Macaca mulatta: one gene and its partners. The protein of the gene in region 3 interacts with the protein of the main gene of each other region in a pairwise test. Links are inferred from orthologs where the notes say so. Each region holds a gene or a part of one and is shown on either strand. Other genes may lie near its edges.

Evidence for each region.
Region 1: the proteins of BIRC7 (region 3) and CASP9 interact in binary tests that used the Homo sapiens proteins (3 or more experiments, as listed by UniProt). The two-hybrid records come from large-scale screens. The link is inferred for Macaca mulatta from reciprocal best matches to the Homo sapiens genes BIRC7 and CASP9.
Region 2: the proteins of BIRC7 (region 3) and DDX6 interact in a two-hybrid assay, tested with the Homo sapiens proteins (3 studies listed by BioGRID and IntAct). The two-hybrid records come from large-scale screens. The link is inferred for Macaca mulatta from reciprocal best matches to the Homo sapiens genes BIRC7 and DDX6.

What each region holds. Positions count from the first base shown.
Region 1 is NC_133406.1:225,516,243-225,523,072, reverse strand, and holds the start of CASP9 (caspase-9), read right to left. Parts: upstream 4,729-6,830; 5' UTR 4,708-4,728; coding exon 4,576-4,707; intron 1-4,575. UniProt on the Homo sapiens protein: Involved in the activation cascade of caspases responsible for apoptosis execution. Binding of caspase-9 to Apaf-1 leads to activation of the protease which then cleaves and activates effector caspases caspase-3 (CASP3) or caspase-7 (CASP7).
Region 2 is NC_133419.1:119,468,496-119,475,325, forward strand, and holds the start of DDX6 (putative ATP-dependent RNA helicase DDX6), read right to left. Parts: upstream 4,977-6,830; 5' UTR 4,910-4,976; intron 4,755-4,909; exon of another isoform or gene 4,667-4,754; intron 1-4,666.
Region 3 is NC_133415.1:116,086,303-116,093,132, forward strand, and holds the start of BIRC7 (baculoviral IAP repeat-containing protein 7), read left to right. Parts: upstream 1-1,901; 5' UTR 1,902-2,103; exon of another isoform or gene 2,104-2,202; 5' UTR 2,203-2,385; coding exon 2,386-2,974; intron 2,975-3,077; exon of another isoform or gene 3,078-3,254; intron 3,255-4,432; coding exon 4,433-4,532; intron 4,533-4,919; coding exon 4,920-5,001; intron 5,002-5,093; coding exon 5,094-5,139; intron 5,140-5,681; coding exon 5,682-5,753; intron 5,754-5,896; coding exon 5,897-6,144; coding exon of another isoform or gene 6,145-6,149; intron 6,150-6,329; coding exon of another isoform or gene 6,330-6,575; intron 6,576-6,830.

The DNA of each region.
Region 1 (6,830 bases), on a different chromosome or scaffold from region 3:
TTTTTTTTTTTACCTTGAGACAGAGTCTCACTCTGTCACCCAGGCTAGAGTGTAGTGGTACAATCTTAGCTCACTGCAACCTCCAGCTCTGAGGTTCAAGCGATTCTCCTGCCTCAGCCTCCGGAGTAGTTGGGATTACGGGCACACACCACCATGCCTGGCTAATTTCTTTTGTATTTTTAGTAGAGACAGGGTTTCACCATGTTGCCCAGGCTGGTCTTGAACTGACCTCAAGTGATCCTCCAGCCTTGGCCTCCCAAAGTGCTGGGATTACAGGGATGAGCCACCATGGCCAGTCTTCAGTTTTTTCTGTTTTTTGTTTTTGTTTTTTTGAGAAAGAGTCTTGCTCTGTCACCCAGGCTGGAATGCAGTGGTACCATCTCAGTTCACTGCAACCTCCACCTTTCAGGTGCAAGTGATTCTCCCACATCAGCCTCCCAGGTAGCTGGGACTACAGGAACCCGCCACCATGCCTGGCTAATTTTTGTATTTTTTGGTCGAGATGGGGTTTCACCATGTTGGCCAGGCTGGTCTCAAACTCCTGACCTCAAGCGATCCACCAACCTCAGCCTCTCAAAGTGCTAGGATTACAGGCATGAACTACTGTGCAAGGCCACCAAAGAGTTTTAAGATTGGAGTGACAGAGACAGATACGCCTTTTCAAAAAATCATCCTGGGGTCAGGGTGAAAAATGGAAAGGAGTGAGCCATAGCCAGACCAGAAGGCAGCAAAGATGGTGCAGCTAAAATAGAGAGAAGTGAAAGGACAAAGCAGAGATACAAAGAGGGAGGGTCCATAGGACATGGGCACTGACTGGTGGGACTGTGAAGGCAGAGCAAGGGTCAAGGTTGACAGGCAGGCCAGGCACAGTAGCTCATGCTTGCAATTCCAGCACTCTGGGAGGCTGAAGTGGGAGGATAGCTTGAGCCCAGGAGTTCAACACCAGCCTGGGTAATGCAGTGAGATCCTATCTCTACAAAAACTTAAAAAAATTAGCCAGGTACAGTGTCATGCACCTGTAGTCCTAGCTACTCAGGAGGCTGAGGCAGGAGGATGGCTCGAGCCCAGGAGGTTAAAGCTGCAGTGAGCTGTGATAGCACCACTGCACTTCAGCCTGGGCAACACAGCAAGACCCTGTCTCAAAAAAAAAAAAAAAAGTTGAAGGTGTTAGGATGGTGGGGTCAGTCACTAAGACAGAAGAAAGATTCTGGTTATCTGCCACCTGTCTTCAGACACCCAGCACTGGACAGGTTCTCAGGATCCACAGGGATAAGATGGCACCATGTCCTCAACTATCCTACAGCAGCACTGTCTATGAGAACCTTCCATGATAATGGAAATATTCTTGGTCTACACTGTCCCATATGGTAACCATACATCACATGACCACTGAGCACTTGGGTGGTACAACGGAGGAACTGAATTTTTGTGGGCGAAAGATTACCTAGGTGCCAAGGCAAGAGACTGAAGCCACAAACTGTTTCAGTATAATAAAGAAAATAGTTAGAATAAGAATAGTCATAATACAAATTAGATACAGAGATGATCATGGATAATATCAATCATTATTATAAACATTATTAATCATTAGCTTTTAATATTACTCTTTGTTGCATTGCTAATATAACTTAGGAATAACCAGCGGGTACAGGGTCAGGTGCTGAAAGGACATTGTGAGAAGTGCCCTAGAAGGCAAGATGTGAGCCCTCTGTCACACCCGCAAAAGGGCCACTTGAGGGCTCCTTCGTCACGCAGTAATGCCAGCGTCTGGGAAGGCACGTGTTACTTAGCAGACCGTGAAAGGGAGTCTCCTTTCCTTGGAGGAGTCAGGAAACGCTCCACTCCACCAGCTTCTTGTGGGAGGCTGGATATTATCCAGGCCTGCCCGCAGTCATCTGGAGGCCTAAACCCTCCCTGTGGTGCTGTGCTTCAATGGTCACGCTCCTTGTCCACTTTCATGCTCCTCCCGTACTCCCGGCTCCTCTTTGAAGTTCGTAGTAGATAGCGGTAGAAAAAATAGTGAAAGTCTTAAAGTCTTTGCTTTCTTATGAGTGTATAGAAGAAAACGCTGACGTATGCTGCCTTCTCTCTCTGCTTCGGCTACCTAAAGGGAAGGGCCCACTTTCCTATGATCACGTGACTTGCTTCACCTTATCAATCACCTAAGACGACTCACCCTCCTTACCCTGCCCCCTTGCCTTGTATCCAATAAATAACAGCGCAGCCAAGCATTTGGGGCCACTACGGTCTCTGCGTCTAGGTGGTAGTGGTCCCCAGGGCCCAGCTCTCTTTTCTTCTATCTGTCTTGTGTCTTCATTTCTACGATCTCTCGTCTCCGCACACAAGGAGAAAAACCCACAGGCCCTGTGGGGCTGGACCCTACAGATTTTTAACTTTATTTAATTTTAATTACTTCAAATTTACCTTTAACCACATGTGGCTAATGGCTACTACAAACCTGTAGTGCCACTAAGAAGGTGAGTCTCACTAGCAGAGCAGTTGGCCACATGCAAATAGATGGTGGTGTTTAGATTTCTCTCCACATTTGCTAAACACTCCAGGAGGTCAACACTGTGTAAATGCATTGGTTCATCTTTTTCTCCCTCAATAACCTGATAGAGTTAAATTACAATTTCCCAACTTTTTAGGGTAAGAAATTTCAGGGAAACTGAGTCACAGAAAGGGGTTTTTCTGTTTGTTTGGTTCATTGGTTGTGGTTTTTTACGACTTGCTAATACGTTACAAGGCCAGGATGAGCGCCCAGATCCAAAACCTGCCTGTTTTTCAGCCATACTAGGGTGACAAAATGGCAACCTGTGGTTCCCACAAGGTTCTTAAAAAATTTCTGAATTTGTTGCTAACATTTTAAGCCAGGGAATTTGACAGAGGAATCAAGATTTCCAGCTTCTTTTTTAAAATGTGAAAGCTGGCCCAGGTACAGTGGCTCACACCTGTAACCCCAACACTGAGGCAGGAGAATCACTTGAGGCCAGGAGTTTGAGACTCATCTGGACAACATAGCAAGGCTCCTATCTGTACAAAAAAAAATTTTTTTTAATTAGCCAGGCATGGTGGCATGTGCCTAAAGTCCCAGCTACTCTAAAGGCTGAGGCAGGAAGACCACTTAAGCCAGGAGGTCAAGGTCGCAGTGAGCCATGATCTCATCACTGCACTCCAGGCTGGGCAAGAGTGAGACCCTGCCTCAAATAAGTGAAAGATCTGGCAATACTGGGCCATTTGCTGGTATGGCCATACTCAGCTGGAGTCAGAGAGCAGTGCAAAGGTATCCACTATGATGCCCATCCATCAGGCCTCCACAGGCACTGAGTTTGTGATCCCCGTGAACATTCCTGAAGGCAAGGACTGTGGCCTCAAACCATTTCTGTTCCCCAGTAGGGGCCACACAGAAGTCACAAGACTTAATTATTAATGAATAATTACTCATATGATACTCAATTATTTAAAGACTCTTTCCCTGGGCCAGGGCACTGGCCAGGGATATCCAGCCAGCCACTCACACCTACTGCACCTCATGGTAGGAAATATCTCCTGAGTCCTCACAGGCCTGTGATGAGGGTCAAATGAGATAAAGATGAGAAAGTGCTTTTAAAGAAAACCTCAAATGTTTGACTTTATTATTCTCCATTACCTGCATCAGGTCCCCTCATTTCCAAAACCTCTTAACAAAACATAAACTGAACACAGAAGGGGCTGGCCAAAGAGGGCAGGGCACACTGAGCCCTCGCTCTGTGCCTGGCACTACATTGTTTCACATCCATTATTTCATTTAGTCCTTATGACAGTATTATTCTTATTCCCATTTCACAGCCCAGAAACCGTGGCTCAAAGAGGGTAAATGACTGGCCCAAGAACACGCTGCCAGGCAGTCTTGATGCCAAAGTGGGTTCCCAATATCTCTATACTAGAAAAGTAAAAACGCACACGCCTCCTTCCTCGCAAGTATTAAACTAAAATGGAGACCAACCATGAATAATTCCTGAGCAGACAAAACCGATCAGGTATCCTTAGTGACCTAAATCTTGCTTAAACTGCAAACAGCAAAATTTAACTTGGGTCATATCTGATAAATGCTTATGTTAGAGAGAAGTAAAACTTAACTCCAGCCAATGATAAGCAAGCATAAGCAATCAACTAACAGACCTTTAAAAAAAAAAAAAGGGCAATTTTGTAACTGCAAACCAATCAAATAATTTCGTTATTTTGCTTCCACATTTTCCCAATAAATACTTGCCTCTGACCTTTTGTCATTGCAACACTAAACCTCTTTCAGTCTGGTGTTCTCCGATTCATGAACTGTTTCTAATTCAAAGTTTTCAAGATGGGTCTCACATTTTTCCTTTACACAAGACACACAAGCACTAACGGTGGACGCTGACTGAGTATGGCGTGGAATCGCTTTAGCGAACACCCGACTAAGAGGTGTTCGGGATTCTTAGTCTCCGCTGAGGGGTTCGAAGCCACAGGGAAAGCTAGGCTCCCGCACAATGGCTCCTCGAGGGGCGTGGGGACCCGGCCGTGCAGCGCGGGGCCAGGGGGCCAGGGGCGGGGGCGCACCTGGATGTCCTCGATCATGTGGGGCTTGAACAGCTCGCGGCTCAGCAGGGCGTCCCAGAGCTGATCCACCTGCAGCTCCTCCACCAGCCGCAGCCGGCACCGCCGCAGGAGCCGCCGGTCCGCTTCATCCATGGCGAAGAGCCTCAGTCTGCTTCCGGGCCTCGGCCGCCCGCCCCAGTCCCCAGGACCCGCCCCACTCCCCAGGGCCCGCCCCCGCGTCACTGCCCAGGGTCAGTCTTCGCTCCACCGCCTCAGGACGCATCTCCAATGCCTCACCCCGCCCCCAGGAGTCGCGCTTGCGTCACCTCCCCGCCCTCAGGACAACCCTCCGCGCCTCGCCCTGCCCCCAGGGTCAACTCTCGGGTAACCGCCCCGCCCCAGAACCCGCCCCCACGTCCCCGCACCGCCCCCGCGTCACCGCCCCGCCCCCAGGACGCATCTGCAAGGCCTCGCCCCGCCCCAAGGATTCGCTCTTGGGTCCCCGCCTCGCCGTCAGAACGCACCTCCGCGCCTCGCCCTGCCCCCAGGGTCAATTCTCGGGTCACCGCCCCGCCCCTGAACTTGCCCCCGCGTCACCGCCCAGTGCCCGGGACTCGTCTCTAAGGCCTCACCCCGCCCCCAGGTTCGCAATTGCGTCTCACCCCGCCCTCAGGACGCACCTCAGCGCCTCGCCCCGACCCCAGAATCCATCCCGCGCCACCGCCACGCCCCCACCCCGCCCCCAATGTCAATCTTGCGCCACCGCCCCGCCCCCAACGCCAAGCCTCGCGCCACTGCCCGGCCTCCAAGAGCCAACCCCCTCCCCTCGCTCCACCCTCAGAATCGTCCATGCGTCACCGCACCGCCTCGGACTCCAGCTCGCACCCTCGCCCCGCCCCCAAAGTCAATCCTCAGCCCCAGGATCCAATCTCCTGTCACCGCCCGGCCCCAAGGCGGTACCTCCGCACCTCGCCCGGCTCCCAGGGCCCAGCCCCGCCCCCGCGTCACCGCCCCCCTCCGGGCGCAGGTGCCCGTTTGCAATTGTGGCACCAGTTCCCAGTCCACCGAGGGCCCCTCGCCAGAATTCACTACGGCCCCGCTTTTACAGAGACTCGGAGAGAGTCGTCACACTTCCAGAAAGAGGGAAACCATGAGTGGAGCCACGGTCTGCCCCACCCCGTTCAACCTCCTCCGGGGCATGGATTCCCCTTAGCCTCCTCCTCCACCCCAAGAAAAACCATAAGCTCCCCTCACCGCCCCTGTGCCCAGATCGCAGTTGACTGTTCCAAACTCGAGTGTCTGATCCAACCAAGCCCACCTTACACAGTCTTCCGTTCCCTCTTCCCTCCCTCCCACCCTAACACCTCCCACACAGAAAAAAAACTGGCAGAAATCTAGTCCCTCTAAACTCCTGTCGTTTTGAACGGTTCATTTTCACATTTCAAAAATAATCGTTTCTGTTTACTGAGCATTTGCTAAGTCCCAGGCATCGTGCTAGCCACTTTTCATGCTTATCTCATTTATCCTTAACTACAATCCTGCCAGGAAAGTATTCCCGCCCCCACCCCCTGCCAGTTTTACAGATGTAGACCCTAGGGTTCAGGGAAACGAATGTTTAAGGACACATGGGCAGTAAGCGGCCGAGGCAGGCAGGATTGAAACCCGAAACCTGACTCGACAAGCCACACTTTTAAAATCCAAGAGTCCACCTTAGAATATAATCGCTTGAGCAGCAAAACCTCAGCCCCATTCGTTCACTTATTCTCCGAATTTTGTTTTTTTTTTTTGAGACGGAGTCTCGCTCTGTTGCCCAGGCTGGAGTGCAGTGGTGCGATCTCGGCTCACTGCAAGCTCCGCCTCCCGGGTTTACGCCATTCTCCTGCCTCAGCCTCCTGAGTAGCTGGGACTACAGGCGCCCGCCACCTGGCCCGGCTAGTTTTTTTGTATTTTTTAGTAGAGACGGGGTTTCACCGTGTTAGCCAGGATGGTCTCGATCTCCTGACCTCATGACCCGCCCGTCTCGGCCTCCCAAAGTGCTGGAATTACAGGCTTGAGCCACTGCGCCCGGTCTTTCCGAATATTTATTGAGGCTGTAGTCAAACACTGAGAACATGGAGGTGAACAAAACAAAATCCCTGCTTTTAGAGTTTACATTCCAGTGGAAGGATCAGGTGATAAACTATATAAATAAATAAAAGACATAGTATGTTAGTGATAAATGCAAAGAGAAAAAAATAAAAACAGGGCAGAGAGATGAAAGCTCTTTATATCCCCAA
Region 2 (6,830 bases), on a different chromosome or scaffold from region 3:
GTGAAACGCCGTCTCTACTAAAACATACAAAAAACTAGCCGGGCAAGGTGGCGGGTGCCTGTAGTCCCAGCTACGCGGGAGGCTGAGCCAGGAGAATGGCGTGAACCTGGGAGGCGGAGCTTGCAGTGAGCTGAGATCCGGCCACTGCACTCTAGCCTGGGTGACAAAGCAAGACTCCGTCTCAAAAACAAACAAACAAACAAACAAACAAAAAAAAAACTGTTAATTCAAAGCAATCCAGAGAAGATTATGTAGAAAGAGACTAGTAAATTACCACTACTTGTCAAATTATAATCTGCTCAGTTTCCTCCCCAGGAATTCTCTAAAAATCTCTGACATCTCTAAAAGTCAGTGATTCATTATACTTAATTGCATTACAACTCACTGAAGTATCACACGACTTAAACAAGACAATTCATTAATTTTCTTCTACTTCTGATGGCAATCGAGAGTCTTTATAGACTTAAGTGAGCTTTTGACTTGAACTTCACACTTCCAGGAAAAAAAAAAAACACTTTTGTGCCCTTATGAATTTCAACTATTAAACTTTATGGGCTGGGTGTTCGTGGCTCACGTCTGTAATCCCAGCACTTTGGGAGGCCAATGCAGGTGAACACTTGAGGTCAGGAGTTAGAGACCAGCATGGACAACATAGTCAAACCTCATCTCTACTAAAAATACAAAATTTAGGCCAGGAGCGGTGGCTCACGCCTGTAATCCCAGCACTTTGGGAGGCCGAGGTGGGTAGATCACGAGGTCAGGAGTTCAGGATCAGCCTGGCCAAGACGGTGAAACCCAGTCTCTACCAAAAATACGAAAATTAGCCAGGCGTGGTGGCAGGCGCCTGTAATTCCAGCTACAAAGAACTGCTTGAACCCAAGAGGCGGAGGTTGTAGTGAGCCAAGATTGTGCCACTGCACTCCAGCCTGGGCAATAGAGCCAGATTCCGTCTCAAAAACAACAACAACAAAAAACACACAAAATTTAGCCAGGCGTGGTGGCGCACAACTGTAATGGAGTCTCAGCTACTCGGGAGGCTAAGGGCCGAGAATCACTGGAACCTAGGAGATGGAGGCTACAGTGAGCCGGGCGACAGAGTGAGACCTTGTCTCAAAAAACAACAATAAAAAACTTTATGAAGAAAAATGTATTTTATTTTTTCCTTTTTGTCCTTTAAAACAATACACAAAGCAATCAAGAGAATAGTGTATTTCTGCCATAATATATTCAGCAAGTAATGATCCTAAGGACAGATGATACACAAATTTTGTATAAATGATTCTTTATTTTGAAACTGACAAAACAACTCTAATAATTTTATTCATTTATAACAAACTCTGCTAATAACTATTCGTTTTAAATAGAATAAAAAAAAAAAACAGGAAAATCCCTGTTTAAAAAAAAAACTGTAGAAGACTAAACACACTAGTAATTTTAAGAAAACTTTCCAAGAAACCCAGCGTAGTAAATCTAATTAATACTTAAAAAAAAACCAAAAAACAAAAAAACAAAAAACTGGCAGGACGGGCACGGTAGCTCACACCTGTAATCCGAACACTTTAGGAGGCCGACGCTGGTGGATTACCTGAGGTCAGGAGTTCAAGACCAGCCTGATCAATATGGTGAAACTCCATTTCCACTAAAATACAAAAATTAGCTGGGCGTGGTGGTGGTCCTCTGAAATCTCAGCTCCTTAGGAGGCTGAGGCAGAAGAATCACTTGAACCCAGGAGGCGGAGGCAACAATGTGCCGAGATCACACCACTGTACTCCAGCCTAGGTAACAAGAGCAAAACTCCGCTTAAAAAGACACAAAACTGGTCAACCTCATTTTAAAATTATCCGTAAATGGGGCCGGGCGCGGTGGCTCAAGCCTGTAATCCCAGCACTTTGGGAGGCCGAGACGGGCGGATCACGAGGTCAGGAGATCGAGACCATCCTGGTTAACACGGTGAAACCCCGTCTCTACTAAAAAATACAAAAAATTAGCCGGGCGCGGTGGTGGGCGCCTGTAGTCCCAGCTACTCGGGAGGCTGAGGCAGGAGAATGGCGTGAACCCGGGAGGCGGAGCTTGCAGTGAGCTGAGATCCGGCCACTGCACTCCAGCCCGGGCGACAGAGCGAGACTCTGTCTCAAAAAAACAAAAAAAAAACAAAATTATCCGTAAATGGAAATTCTTACTTTTATTTTTCATTTTATTTTTTGAGACAGAGTTTTGCACTGTCGCCCGGGCTGGAGTGCAATGGCACGCTCTTAGCTCACTGCGACCTCCACCTCCCGGGTTCAAGTGATTCTCCTGCCTCAGCCTCCTGAGTAGCTGGGGATTACAGGCATGCGCTACCATGCCCAGCTAATTTTTGTATTTTTAGTAAAGACGTAGTTTGGACATGTTGGCCAGGCTGGTCTTGAACAACTGACCTCAGGTGATCCGCCCACCTCGGCCTCCCAAAGTGCTGGGATTAGAGGCGTGAGCCACCCCCCCAGCCACTCTTATTTATTATTATTACTTTTGAGACATGTTGCCCAGGGTGGAGTGCAGTGGCCCGATCTCAGCTGACTGCAACCTCCACCTCGTGGGTTCAAGCGATCCTCATGCCTTAGCTTCCCAAGTAGCTGGGTGGGATTACAGTCCGGCTAACTTTTGTATTTTTCAGTAGAGACGGGGTGTTATCAAGTTGGCCAGGCTGGTCTCAAGACTCCTGACCTCAAATATCTGCCCGCTTTAGCCTTCCAAAGTGCTAGGATTACAGGCGAGAGCCACCGTGCCCGGCTGAAATCTTAATTGTAGTTAATAAAAACATACAAAGACCCGAAAACAAAGCCCTACTCTGTTGGCTTTTGATTTAACCCCGTTACATGGCTTTTTTGTTTTTGTTTTTGAGGCGGAGTCTCGCTCTGTCACGCAGGTTGGAGTGCAGTGGCACTATCTCGGCTCACTGCAACCGCCGCCTACTGCGTTCAAGCGATTCTCCTGTCTCAGCTTCCAGAGTAGCTGGGATTACAGGCGCCCGCCACCACGCGCAGCTAAATTTTTTGTATATTTAGGAGAGACGGGGTTTTGCCATGTTGGCCAGGCTAGTATCGAACTCCTGACCTCAGCTGATCCGCCTGCCTTGGTTGGCCTCCAAGGTGCTGGGATTACATGCGTGAGCCACCGCACCCAGCAACCCCGTCACATTTCTTACATAAAATACACAGCTTACGAGTGCTGATTCTTTCTGCCATACACCAAGGCATGTGAAACTCAAAATTTTAAAGTCAACAGATCTCAAAATTTATGAGAAAATGCTCCTTGATTATGCCTTCCTTAAAAAAAAAAAAAAAAAGAACAAGTTGCTCACAAGCAAATCCTGATTATCACATACACAAAGTTGTTTACTTTAAAGTCCTTCTGACATCTTAAGCAGATATGGTTAACAGCTACTTTCCTGTATTGACGGGTTTATATTATGATCAGCGACATCACGCAGTTCACACAGAGACTTAGCTGTTTGCAGAGCACTAAGAGGATGAAAAGGGCAACCTCTAAAGACCGAACGATATCATCATTACTGTCCATCATGCACAGTAAGACCTATATCCTTAAATCCAAAATGAGACTATGTGATAACTGCTCCCTTAAACTGAAACCTGCACTGCAGCTTTGTCTCAGAGAAGGAAATATTCCTCCTATTCCTTCCCAATTTATATTTTCAAGTTATCTTTCTCCATTTTCAAAACAAAACAAAACACAAAAAAACGAGAAACAGACTAGAAACGTAGACTAGTTGGGAGGAGCCCCTAGCGGAGTTAATTACAGCACTTCTCAGATCATAGTTAGCAATTGACAGTTTCACACCCAAAACAGTATCGTCATCGCCAACAAGAGCTTTTGTTTGCAAATGCAGCGCAGTTTTTCTAAGCTTTGCCTGCAAGTTGGAGTGACTGGGTTTTATTCTGAAGGGAAAGGGGGGCTGTGGAAGGGAAAAGAAAGAGATAAGGGAAAGAGACAAGTCAATGACTGGAGCCCCACAATTGTAGGGAAATTTCTTGCCCTCCCCCCTGCTGCCCCTCGCCCCAAACACACACACGTCAAGTCAGCTCCCTCTGACCATAAACACAAAAGGTTGGGCTCTGCAATCCTATCTGCGCAATATGAACCGGCAACCAGCTCCATCAGTAGCAAACAATAGGGACTCCCCCAAGAAGGCCCCAAAGGGACCCCCCAACCCAGAAATCCCCCTCCTTTCCTCCAAGAGTCTGGGGCTCCATATACACCCTCTTGTTATTGACCTGCAAGGCCTACCGCAATCAAGCAGCGGTCAGTTCGCTTCTAAACCGAGCCTTCCAATACAGCATGTCCCTGCCGCCCCCTATAGGGCCGCCTCGTACCCTATAACCTCCACCATCATCCCCCTAAGTCCTTGCCGCCCCCTTCGGCCTCATATTCCCTCATCTTCGATAAAGCTCCTCCGAGTACTTAGCCTGCTCCTCCTGCCGACCCTGCCGCGCACCACATTCCTATATTCGCCTCCTCTCAGGCGCCCCCACCCCACACAGCTGCCGCCCGCCTTCCTCCCCAGGCCCGGCCAGGCCTTAGGCCTCCGCCCAAGAGAGTCCCCCAGAGCCGGCCCGGGAGACTCCCCGCAGCCCCCACAGCGCCGCTGACCTCGACCCCACCACCTCACCCCAGGCCTCGCGGCTCGGGCCCGTGTCCTACCAAGGAGGCCACTCCCGCTCGGCACCCTCGGTCCTTTATTGTTGACTCGAAGCTCCCAAAATGGCGGCCGCTCCTTCCTCCTCGGAAACCTCCGCCCGCCCCCACTCGGCCCCCTCGCTACGGCCTCCTCCCGCCCCCGCCCCCACCCGGCTCCGAGGGGCGCGCAGCCCAGCCGCCCGCGCCGCCGGCTCCCCCGGCCGTCCAGCCCTACCTCCTCCGCTGCCCGCTCTCGTGGCGCCGCCGAAGTCGCCGCCGGGCTGAGCTAACTCGGCTCCTCTGTCCCCTCCCTCGCTCGCCCGTTCGCCTGCCCGCCGCCTCCTCCCTCTTTCCCTGCCTCTCCGCATGGCGGCGACCGCGGCTCCTCCTCCACTCAAGATGGCGAAACCTCGGCCGCCGCGGCTACATCCGCCGCGGCGTCACTGCCTTCCCGGCCTGGTGGTGAGAGGAAGCCGGGCCGCAAAAGCCTCCTGAGGAGAAAATGGAGGGCCCTTCTCTCACACCGACGAGAAAAGTTCGAGGGGGAAATATGAGTTCCTTTCTGAAGGGACAGGACGGCTGCTTTTCCACAGCTGCGAAGTGATTGGGGAATGGTGGCTGGCAAGGGTAGCCCTGCCTTCGCCCCTCCAAAGTAAAAATAGGGAGTTGAGACCAGAGGAGCATCTCTTTATTACATGTCTAAGGCTATGTTTTGAAAACTGGCCCCCGGGCAGCTGCTTGGGGACAGGAAGCTGACCTGACTTCTCGTGCTAGCCGGGGAGGCTGATGCCGGGCGTAAGGGGCCGCGTCCATCCAGGAAGGCGCGGGACTAGCGGCCCGGAGACGCGGGGCACGCGTCTGAGTGTGGGGGCCGGAAGGGGGGCCGACCGGGCCTGGAGGCCGCGACAGGCAGGAGGGAGGACTCCAGGGAGCGCGCGGGGGGCGCTTCGCGGAGGGGCAGGGCGGGCCAGTAGGGCGCGCCTGGCTAGGGGAAGGCTCCGGGCTTGAAAGTGCGCCTGGGGGGCTGGTTGGGGGTGGGGGCAGGCACCGGGCTTGAGGGTGTGCCTGGGCGGGGGAAGGCTCCAGGCAAGAGGGCGCGCCTGCGGGTTGTATGGGGGGGTACACCGAGCTTGAGGGTGCGCCCCAGGGGCTCTCATGTGAAGTGTACTAGGCTTGAGGGCGCCCCTGTGGGGCCGGGTGGGGCAAAGGCACCGAGCTTGAGGGTGCGCCTCGGGGGGCCGCGGGGGGAAGGCACCGGGCTTGAGCGTGCGCCGGGAGAGGACGGCGGGGGACCGGACTGTGAGGGCGTATCTTGGGGGACCTGTTGGGGAGGAACCGGGAGGTGAAGGCACAGCTGGGGATGAGGTGGGGGCAGGGGCCGGGCTGTGAGAGTGCGACTGAGGGGGATTACTCCGGAACGCATGGAGCAGGGGTAGCTCACCGGAGTGGTGGGGGGAGAAGCTGGACTGTAAAGTGAGGAGTTGATAGGGCGCAACCCTCTTCTCCTGCCGTCGAAGGGCAAGACTCAAGAACTCAAGAAAGTGGGAGCGGAGGAGGCCGGGCCCTCCCCCAAAGGGAGGGAAGCTACTGAATCGTCCGTTATAATGGAAGTAGGAATTCAGTAAGGAAATGGAGAACCTGAAGGCAGAGGGTGATTCCTCCTGGCTGACCCTCACTATAAAGATATTTATTTATCTTTCCATAATTACTTTTCAGATCCCAATGTCTCTGTTTATCCTTGACAGAAATAATAGAACTGCTGTCTTCTTCCAAGTTAAACAAAACTTTGGAGTTAAAAGCTAACTAGGTCAAGCGAAACAATATCTGGGTCTCGCCCAATTGAGAGACTTGAGTATACAAAGAATGGCCAAACCTATCCATGACCTCCTACCCATGACCTCTGCAGTAATCTGCCCAGAATGGTCAGGACTTGATCTTTAGCTGGCCGCTTCCCTATTTCTTGCCCCTGCTTCCAGCTCTGGGCCAATCAGAGAAAGCCAAATGTGCTCCTCACACCAATCACATAAGAAGCCCTGCTTCTAATTAGCCCTCCTCCAACTTCCCGGTGCCGGGAGCCTCCAATCAGAGCCAGCCTGAAGTTTCTCACTTTTTTCACTGTATGTAAAGCTTTTCCACTCCCCTGCCTGCCTATGAGT
Region 3 (6,830 bases):
TCATCCCGAAAAGCTGCAGGGCAACTGCCAAATCCAGACACACATGCCCAGCACCCACAGGGACGGCTCAGACAGGGAACTTTACTTTCTTTGTACTCTCAGTATTCCCAACACTTCTGGAATAGGCATGTGACCGTTGATTTTAGCTCCTTATTTCTTTTTATTTAATTAAATAAGCAACATATGGATACTCCTTGTTTTGAGAATTTTGGGCCGGCTGCGCACAGCAAAGAGGCTGAGCGCCCCTCGGCAGCTCCCTGCACAGCCACACGCTGGGATGCGTGTGGAGATCACCCACTGGGTTTGGAGGTGCACAGGACCTCAGGGGGCGATCCCACCAGAGGAGCGGGGCTCGGCCTATGGCCCAGCTACCCCGAACTCCCCAGAGCTCCAGGGCCTTTCCTTCCATTTCCAGGAGTGACACCAATCTTGTCTCCTCTCCCAGCCCCAACCAGTGGGAAGAGAGGGTCCCATAACAGGCCATGGCAGTGGCCTGGGAGAGGCCACCCCTGCTGCCTGCCCACCTCAGAGGGTCCCCAGCTTGAGGATTCCGAGCAAACCTGGGTGCTGCATGTGTCCCTCCTCTGGAAAGAGCAGGCTGGAGATAGTGACCCCTCGTCCCACCTCCCAGGTGCACTGCGGGTGGACTGGGAACCAGGCAGCAAAATCCACCCAGCTTGAGGCCCGCGTCCTCCTGAAAGGGCCCCAAGCCCACACCCGGGGTGTTGCTGAAGTGACCAAAGGTAACCGCTGTGCTGAGGGGGCACGGGAGGACAGAGAGGGGGCGAAGTCATGGTACCCCAAGATCATCCCAGAAAACACGTTGGGAAGTTCTACTTTGTGTCTAGCCTGACTCCTTCTCCGGCGCCCAGGCCCTTTCCCGACAGACACAGCCCTCCCCTCCTATGTCCCTGAGCTTCCTGGTGCCTCTCCCTCTGCCCCCGGCAGCCCTGGCTTCTGTGCTGTATCCTCAGCAGGGCCTGGAGACACCCCAGAGGCCTTAAGAGCCACACCCTTCACTTTGATTTCTGCAGGAAACGAGGTGGCTCTGGGCCTTGGATAGGAAAGGGTTGGGGGTCTCGCTGGGGCCCAGCAACACTGACCTGAGTATGACCAGAACAGTCACCAGAGGCCTCCTGGGAGGGCGGGTGCAGCCCCAGCCCCCGCCGTGAGTAGGAGGAGCGGGGGCGGGTGTGAAAGTGTGGTGGGCAGCAGCGGGTCTATGCGGCTCAGCAGTGGAAAGTGAGCGGGCCAGGCTTCCAGGCGAGCTCAGGGACGGTTTTCACTGCAGCTAACCCTCTCCTGCCCGCCTGCACTCCCCGTGGTAACCAAAGGCCCTGCAGTGTGCGACTCCTCTTTATTCTTCCAAACTCTGTGAGCCTGCACGCTCCCATCCAGGACAGAACAGCAGGGGAGAGTGGCTGAAGGACGACAGGGGGCCTTTAGGGCCAGCTGGGTGGATGAGCTGAGTCTGCTAGGGTTGAGGGTTCAGTTGGGGGTCGGGGGGCATCAGTCGGGGGTCGGGGGGCGTCGAAGCCTGGGCCCCATCCAGCTGTCCTCTTTGTCCGGCCCAGGTGTCCCTGGGGTTCCTGTTGTGCCCCCGGCTTCTCTAGGGTTAAGTCCTCCTCCCCGTTCCCTCACTGTGGGGTTTAGCAGCATGGCCCAGCTGTGGAGTTTGGACTGGCAGTCGGGGTCACAGCAGACTCAGGAGCTCTGATTCCGGGGCCAACACTGAATGCTCCTCTTCTGGGGACATCAGCGCCTCTCCCTTGGCTACTTGGGGAGGCTGGTATGGAGGGAAGTGGAGGGAGAAGGAGGAGGTGGAGGGAGACGCGGGGAAGTGAGGGGAGGTGGGGGGAAGGAGGGAAAGAGGGAGGAGGGAGAAGGGGGAAGGGGAGGAGGAAGGAGAGGAAGAAGGAAGAGGAAGGGGGAGGGGGAGGGGGAGGGTAGGGCAGCTCAGGCCCTTCTGTCTGCTCTGATCTTCACGGCCTGAGGATAAGAGCTGCTCCCAGACCTGCGGAGGCCCCTTGGAGCAGAGGGATGTTTCAGAGAACACCCGGGTGACCTGCCTCCCTGCTCTGCATGACGCAGCACTAGGCCCCTGTGAGTCCAGCGTCACCCCTGCAAGGTGGGGGGTCATGGCCCCTGCCTGGACGGGCTGCGCAGCCCATCTGTCTTTACTTGGGCCTTCTCTGCTTCCAGAGGCTGCCCTGGGCGCCTGACCCTGGAACCTTCATCTCCAGCTCCCCAACCCCTCCCCCACAGCCCTGGGACCGGCGCCAGCCTGGGGAGGGGTCTCCATGCTCAGTTCCTTCCCGTCTTGTTCAAAGAGACACTGCCTGCCCACGTGCCATCAGCAGGATCCACAACCCTGCCAGGGGCCCCATGACACGCTCCCGCTGCACAGAGCATGTGACCCCAGAGGCCACCCTGGCCCGTTCCAGAAAGTGTGGGCCCTGGGATACTCCCCTCCCAGGGTGTCTGGTGGCCGGCCTATGCCTATCCCTGCTGTCCTGGGGTGAGCCCGGAGGTCAGGAGCTCCAGAAGGGCCAGCTGGGCATATTCTGGGACTGGCCATCAGCCCCCATTTCTGCTGCAGACCTGGTCAGAGCCAGTGTTCCCTCCATGGGGCCTGAAGACAGTGCCAAGTGCCCGCGCCATGGACCACAGCTGTGCCGCTGGGCAGCTGGTGACGGTCCCGCGCGGGAGCGCTGTGGACCCCGCTCTCTGGGCAGCCCTGCCCTAGGCCTGGACAGCTGCAGAGCCTGGGACCATGTGGATGGGCAGATCCTGGGCCAGCTGCGGCCCCTGGCAGAGGAGGAAGAGGAGGAGGGCGCCGGGGCCATGTCGCCCAGGGGGCCTGCCTTCCCCGGCATGGGCTCTGAAGAGCTGCGTCTGGCCTCCTTCTATGACTGGCCGCTGACGGCTGGGGTGCCGCCCGAGCTGCTGGCCGCTGCCGGCTTCTTCCACACAGGTCAGTCCCGGGCGGGGGGGCCTTCCTGCTGTGGGCCTGGGCACGATTCTGGACCCTTCCAGCCCAGGGCTCTGCCTCCTCCGTAGCATCCATCCCCCAACAGGAAGGGTCTGGCCGGATGATGGAGCAGGAGTCCTGCAAGCCCTTCAGTGCCCATGTGCTCCTGCCTGACACGCTCTCCCGGAGTCTCTGCTGGCCAAGTGTGTCAGACTGTGGGACATGAGGAGGGGCTGCCTCTGGCCATGGTCTGGGGGTCTCAGCTGTGGAGGCCACCAGCTTGGTGCGCAAGTACCTGTTTGTGATAGAAGTGGGTGGGGCTGACATTGCCTGGGGCCCTCACCGTCCTGCTGCTGGTCTGCACGGGGAGGGGAGGAGATGTTTAAGGAACAGGATCACGGTGACCAAGGCAGGCGTGGTCAGCCGGAAGGTCCTGGCAGCTCAGCCTGTGGGGAATTTCTTCAGGACCCAACCTGCAGCCACTGTCTGGTCTTCCCCAACTAAATCAAGTCCCCGGAGTACCTATCCTCGTCTTGACCTGGGCCCGCTCCTCGGCCCTACAGCTGGGGACCATGTGGTCAGACCTGAGTTCAGGTCCCAGCTCTGCCACTTCCGGGCTGAAGGACAGGGCAGCAGGGCCCACTGAGGGCTTTACGAGTACTGGCACAGCCAAGGTCATTGTCAGCAGTGGGCTCTGGGAGGGCACCATCCTGGTAAGGCTGGACCAACTTAAGACAGCTGGTCGGGGGGGACAGTGGCTGGGACAGTCAGGAGTCGTGGTGTGAAGGGGCAGGCCTGGCTCACCCAACTCCCTGGAGGTCCAAGGCTCAGCAGGTGAAGGTCAGGCAGGAGGCATGGCAGGTGCAGAGCCAGGGTCTTTGGGGCTGGTCGAGGTCCAGTGCCTGATGCAGCCCAAACCTGTGATGTCAGTGGCAGGTGATATATCGCATGCCTGCCGATGAGGGGACGGGGCTGTCAGGAGGTAGAGCGAGGAGGGGTCCCCCACCCCTAAAGGGAGGCATGAGTTCCTAAAACCAAGCCTGGCCCCAGACTGGCCTTCTAGGGCAGCCTCCCTTCTTCCTCTCGCTGGGACTCATCTTGGGGAAGCAGAGACCTGGGGAGGGGCTCTTCTGGCTCCTGAAGCCTCAGGGCTATAGATGTGCCAGGCCCTGGGGGGCCCCCACTGCTTACTCTGGGAACAATGCAAATGCCAGCTCAGTCCTTTCCTGAACATTCTCACCCATCCTGGCCGGCACCCCAGACACCCTTGTCCCCTTTTCACCTTTGATGCTAATGAGGTGCAAGAGTCCTCCCCCACCCAGCCCCCTGCCCACCCCCTCCTCCCTGTTGCCACCTGGGAGCTCCCCTCCAGTTGAAGCTCTCGCAGCCTTGGAAGGACGTACCGGGGGGGCAGGGGGCTGGCTGGGGCCTGGCTGGGGCCAGCATCTCTCCGCACCCCAGGCCAGCAGGACAAGGTGAGGTGCTTCTTCTGCTACGGGGGCCTGCAGAGCTGGAAGCGCGGGGACGACCCCTGGACGGAGCATGCCAAGTGGTTCCCCAGGTACCAGCTGTCCCTGTGGGGCCCCGGGTCTGATCACGGGTCAGGAGTGGGCCCCAAAGGGCTCTGTCGACCCAACACCAGGCCTGCTTTGCCTCCCTGGCCCCACAGGGCACTGGGGAGGCCCCTCTGTGGATGGTGCTTCCGGCCGGCAGGCACCCACTTTTCCTGTGAGGGCCCCTGTTCGGAAGGGCTGCTGGGGGCAGAAGTGCCTCTCCTGTGGGACTACCCTGAAGCCCCATGGAGGTGTCTCCAAGGCAGCCCTCCTCGCCCATGCCCACGGGCACTGCAGGGCGGCGGGAGGAGGGGGCCCAACCCCCGGGGATCCAAGGGCTTGAAGCGGACGGCGGGGGCCCTGAACCCCAACCTACATCTGTGGGGCATCTGCAGCTGCCAGTTCCTGCTCCGGTCAAAAGGAAGAGACTTTGTCCACAGTGTGCAGGAGACTCACTCTCAGCTGCTGGGCTCCTGGGTGAGCGCCACCTCCCCTCGGGGCTCCGGGCGCCAGTGGGGTCCTGCCCCTCCTATTTCCCCAAGGCACCGACAGTCTCTGGCTCCTTCCAGGACCCGTGGGAAGAACCGGAAGAGGCAGCCCCTGTGGCCCCCTCCGGTGAGAGCCAACACCCTACTGACTCCTTGGGCACCTGCAGCCTGTGCTTGGCCAAGGCCATGGGGTGTCCCCACCCTGCCAGACAGCAGGGAGAGTGACGGGCACGTGACCGGGTGTGAGGCTGCTGCCTGGGTTGGCTTCATGGGGGCTGTGCCGTGTGAGGTGGCGCGGGGCGGCAGGGGCCTCTGCCAGTGCCAGGTCCCCATTCTGCTTCTCCCCCAGCTCACCCCCTGGGCACAGCCCATCGCCCCTCGCCGCACCACCCCCAACAGTGCCCAGCACACAGTGTCTGCAGCCACTGCCAGATGGGCTGGATGTGCAGAGGGCCTTGGACAAGGGGCAGGCTCTCTGGTGGCCCCTCCAGGAAGCCTTTGGATCCTGTTATGCTGTGGGAGGGGTGGGAAGAAGTGTCGGGAGCGGGGGTACTCTGCAGTCCCTCCACTCCTGGCCAGAACTGGACCCCACAGGCTGCGGACCTGTCTCTGGGCCGGCCCGGCTTCCCCTTGGGAGCTAGGCCTCAAGTCCATCCTAACTGTCCACAGTCCCTGCCCCTGGGGACCCTGAGCTGCCCACGCCCAGAAGAGAGGTCCAGTCTGAAAGCGCCCAGGAGCCAGGTGCAGGCCCGGGACCCCCTGGGGTGGGGGCTGGGACAGGGGAGGGCTGATGGCACCTGGAGGGCTGGGTAACGCCAACCTTCCACAGGCCGAAGAGGGCAGGGGCCAGGGTGCGGGGACACTTTGCAGGCCTGTCCTCCTAGGGGGAGCCAGTCCCCCCCAGGCCCAGAGCGGGTGGTGGGTTCTTGAGCCCCCAGGAGCCAGGGACGTGGAGGAGCAGCTGCGGCGGCTGCAGGAGGAGAGGACGTGCAAGGTGTGCCTGGACCGTGCCGTGTCCATCGTCTTCGTGCCATGCGGCCACCTGGTCTGCGCTGAGTGTGCCCCCAGCCTGCAGCTGTGCCCCATCTGCAGAGCCCCCGTCCGCAGCCGTGTGCGCACCTTCCTGTCCTAGGCCAGGTGAGCGTCCCGGCACCACGCACAGCCAGCCCTCCTGCGGAGATGGCCCTGAGCCGGCCGTGCCCGGCCCTCCTGAACCCGGCAGGCCCTTCCCGGGTGGCATCGTCAGCCTGTCCTTACCCCGCTCACCAGGCCCCACTGATAGCACCCATCAGCCTTACTACCTGCCTTGACGCTTAGGTTGGGGCCTGGTCCTTCTCAGCACCATGCCCTGGCAGCCACCACAGCTCTGCCCGCCTGCGTTAACTGACGCCTGCTGGCTCCTCTCGGCCTTGATTTTCTTCAGTGGTCAAGGAAAGCCGGCTTTGGAGGCGTTTGGGGAAACAGAGTGGGCCGGTTTGGGCTTACACAAGCGAGACACCAGCCTGGCCTTAAACCGGGGCCAAGGCACGGTGGGGACGCCTGCACGGTGGGGACGCCTGCACGGTGGGGACGCCTGCATGGGACGGGGGCGTGTGAACCTGTTCTTAGAGAAGTGGGTGGGATGCCCCAAGCTGGCCGAGGGACAGGTGCTGTGACTGCCTTGGGGCTCTCCAGGGCCTCTGTAGTTACCCCCGGGATGTGTCTGAAGATCTTTTGGAGGGGACAACGTAGTCAGGCAGGGAAATCTGGGAAAGGGAAATCTGGTATCTGAGGCCCCTGGCTCAGTGGGCCCTGTTGGTAGCCATTGACTCACCCACC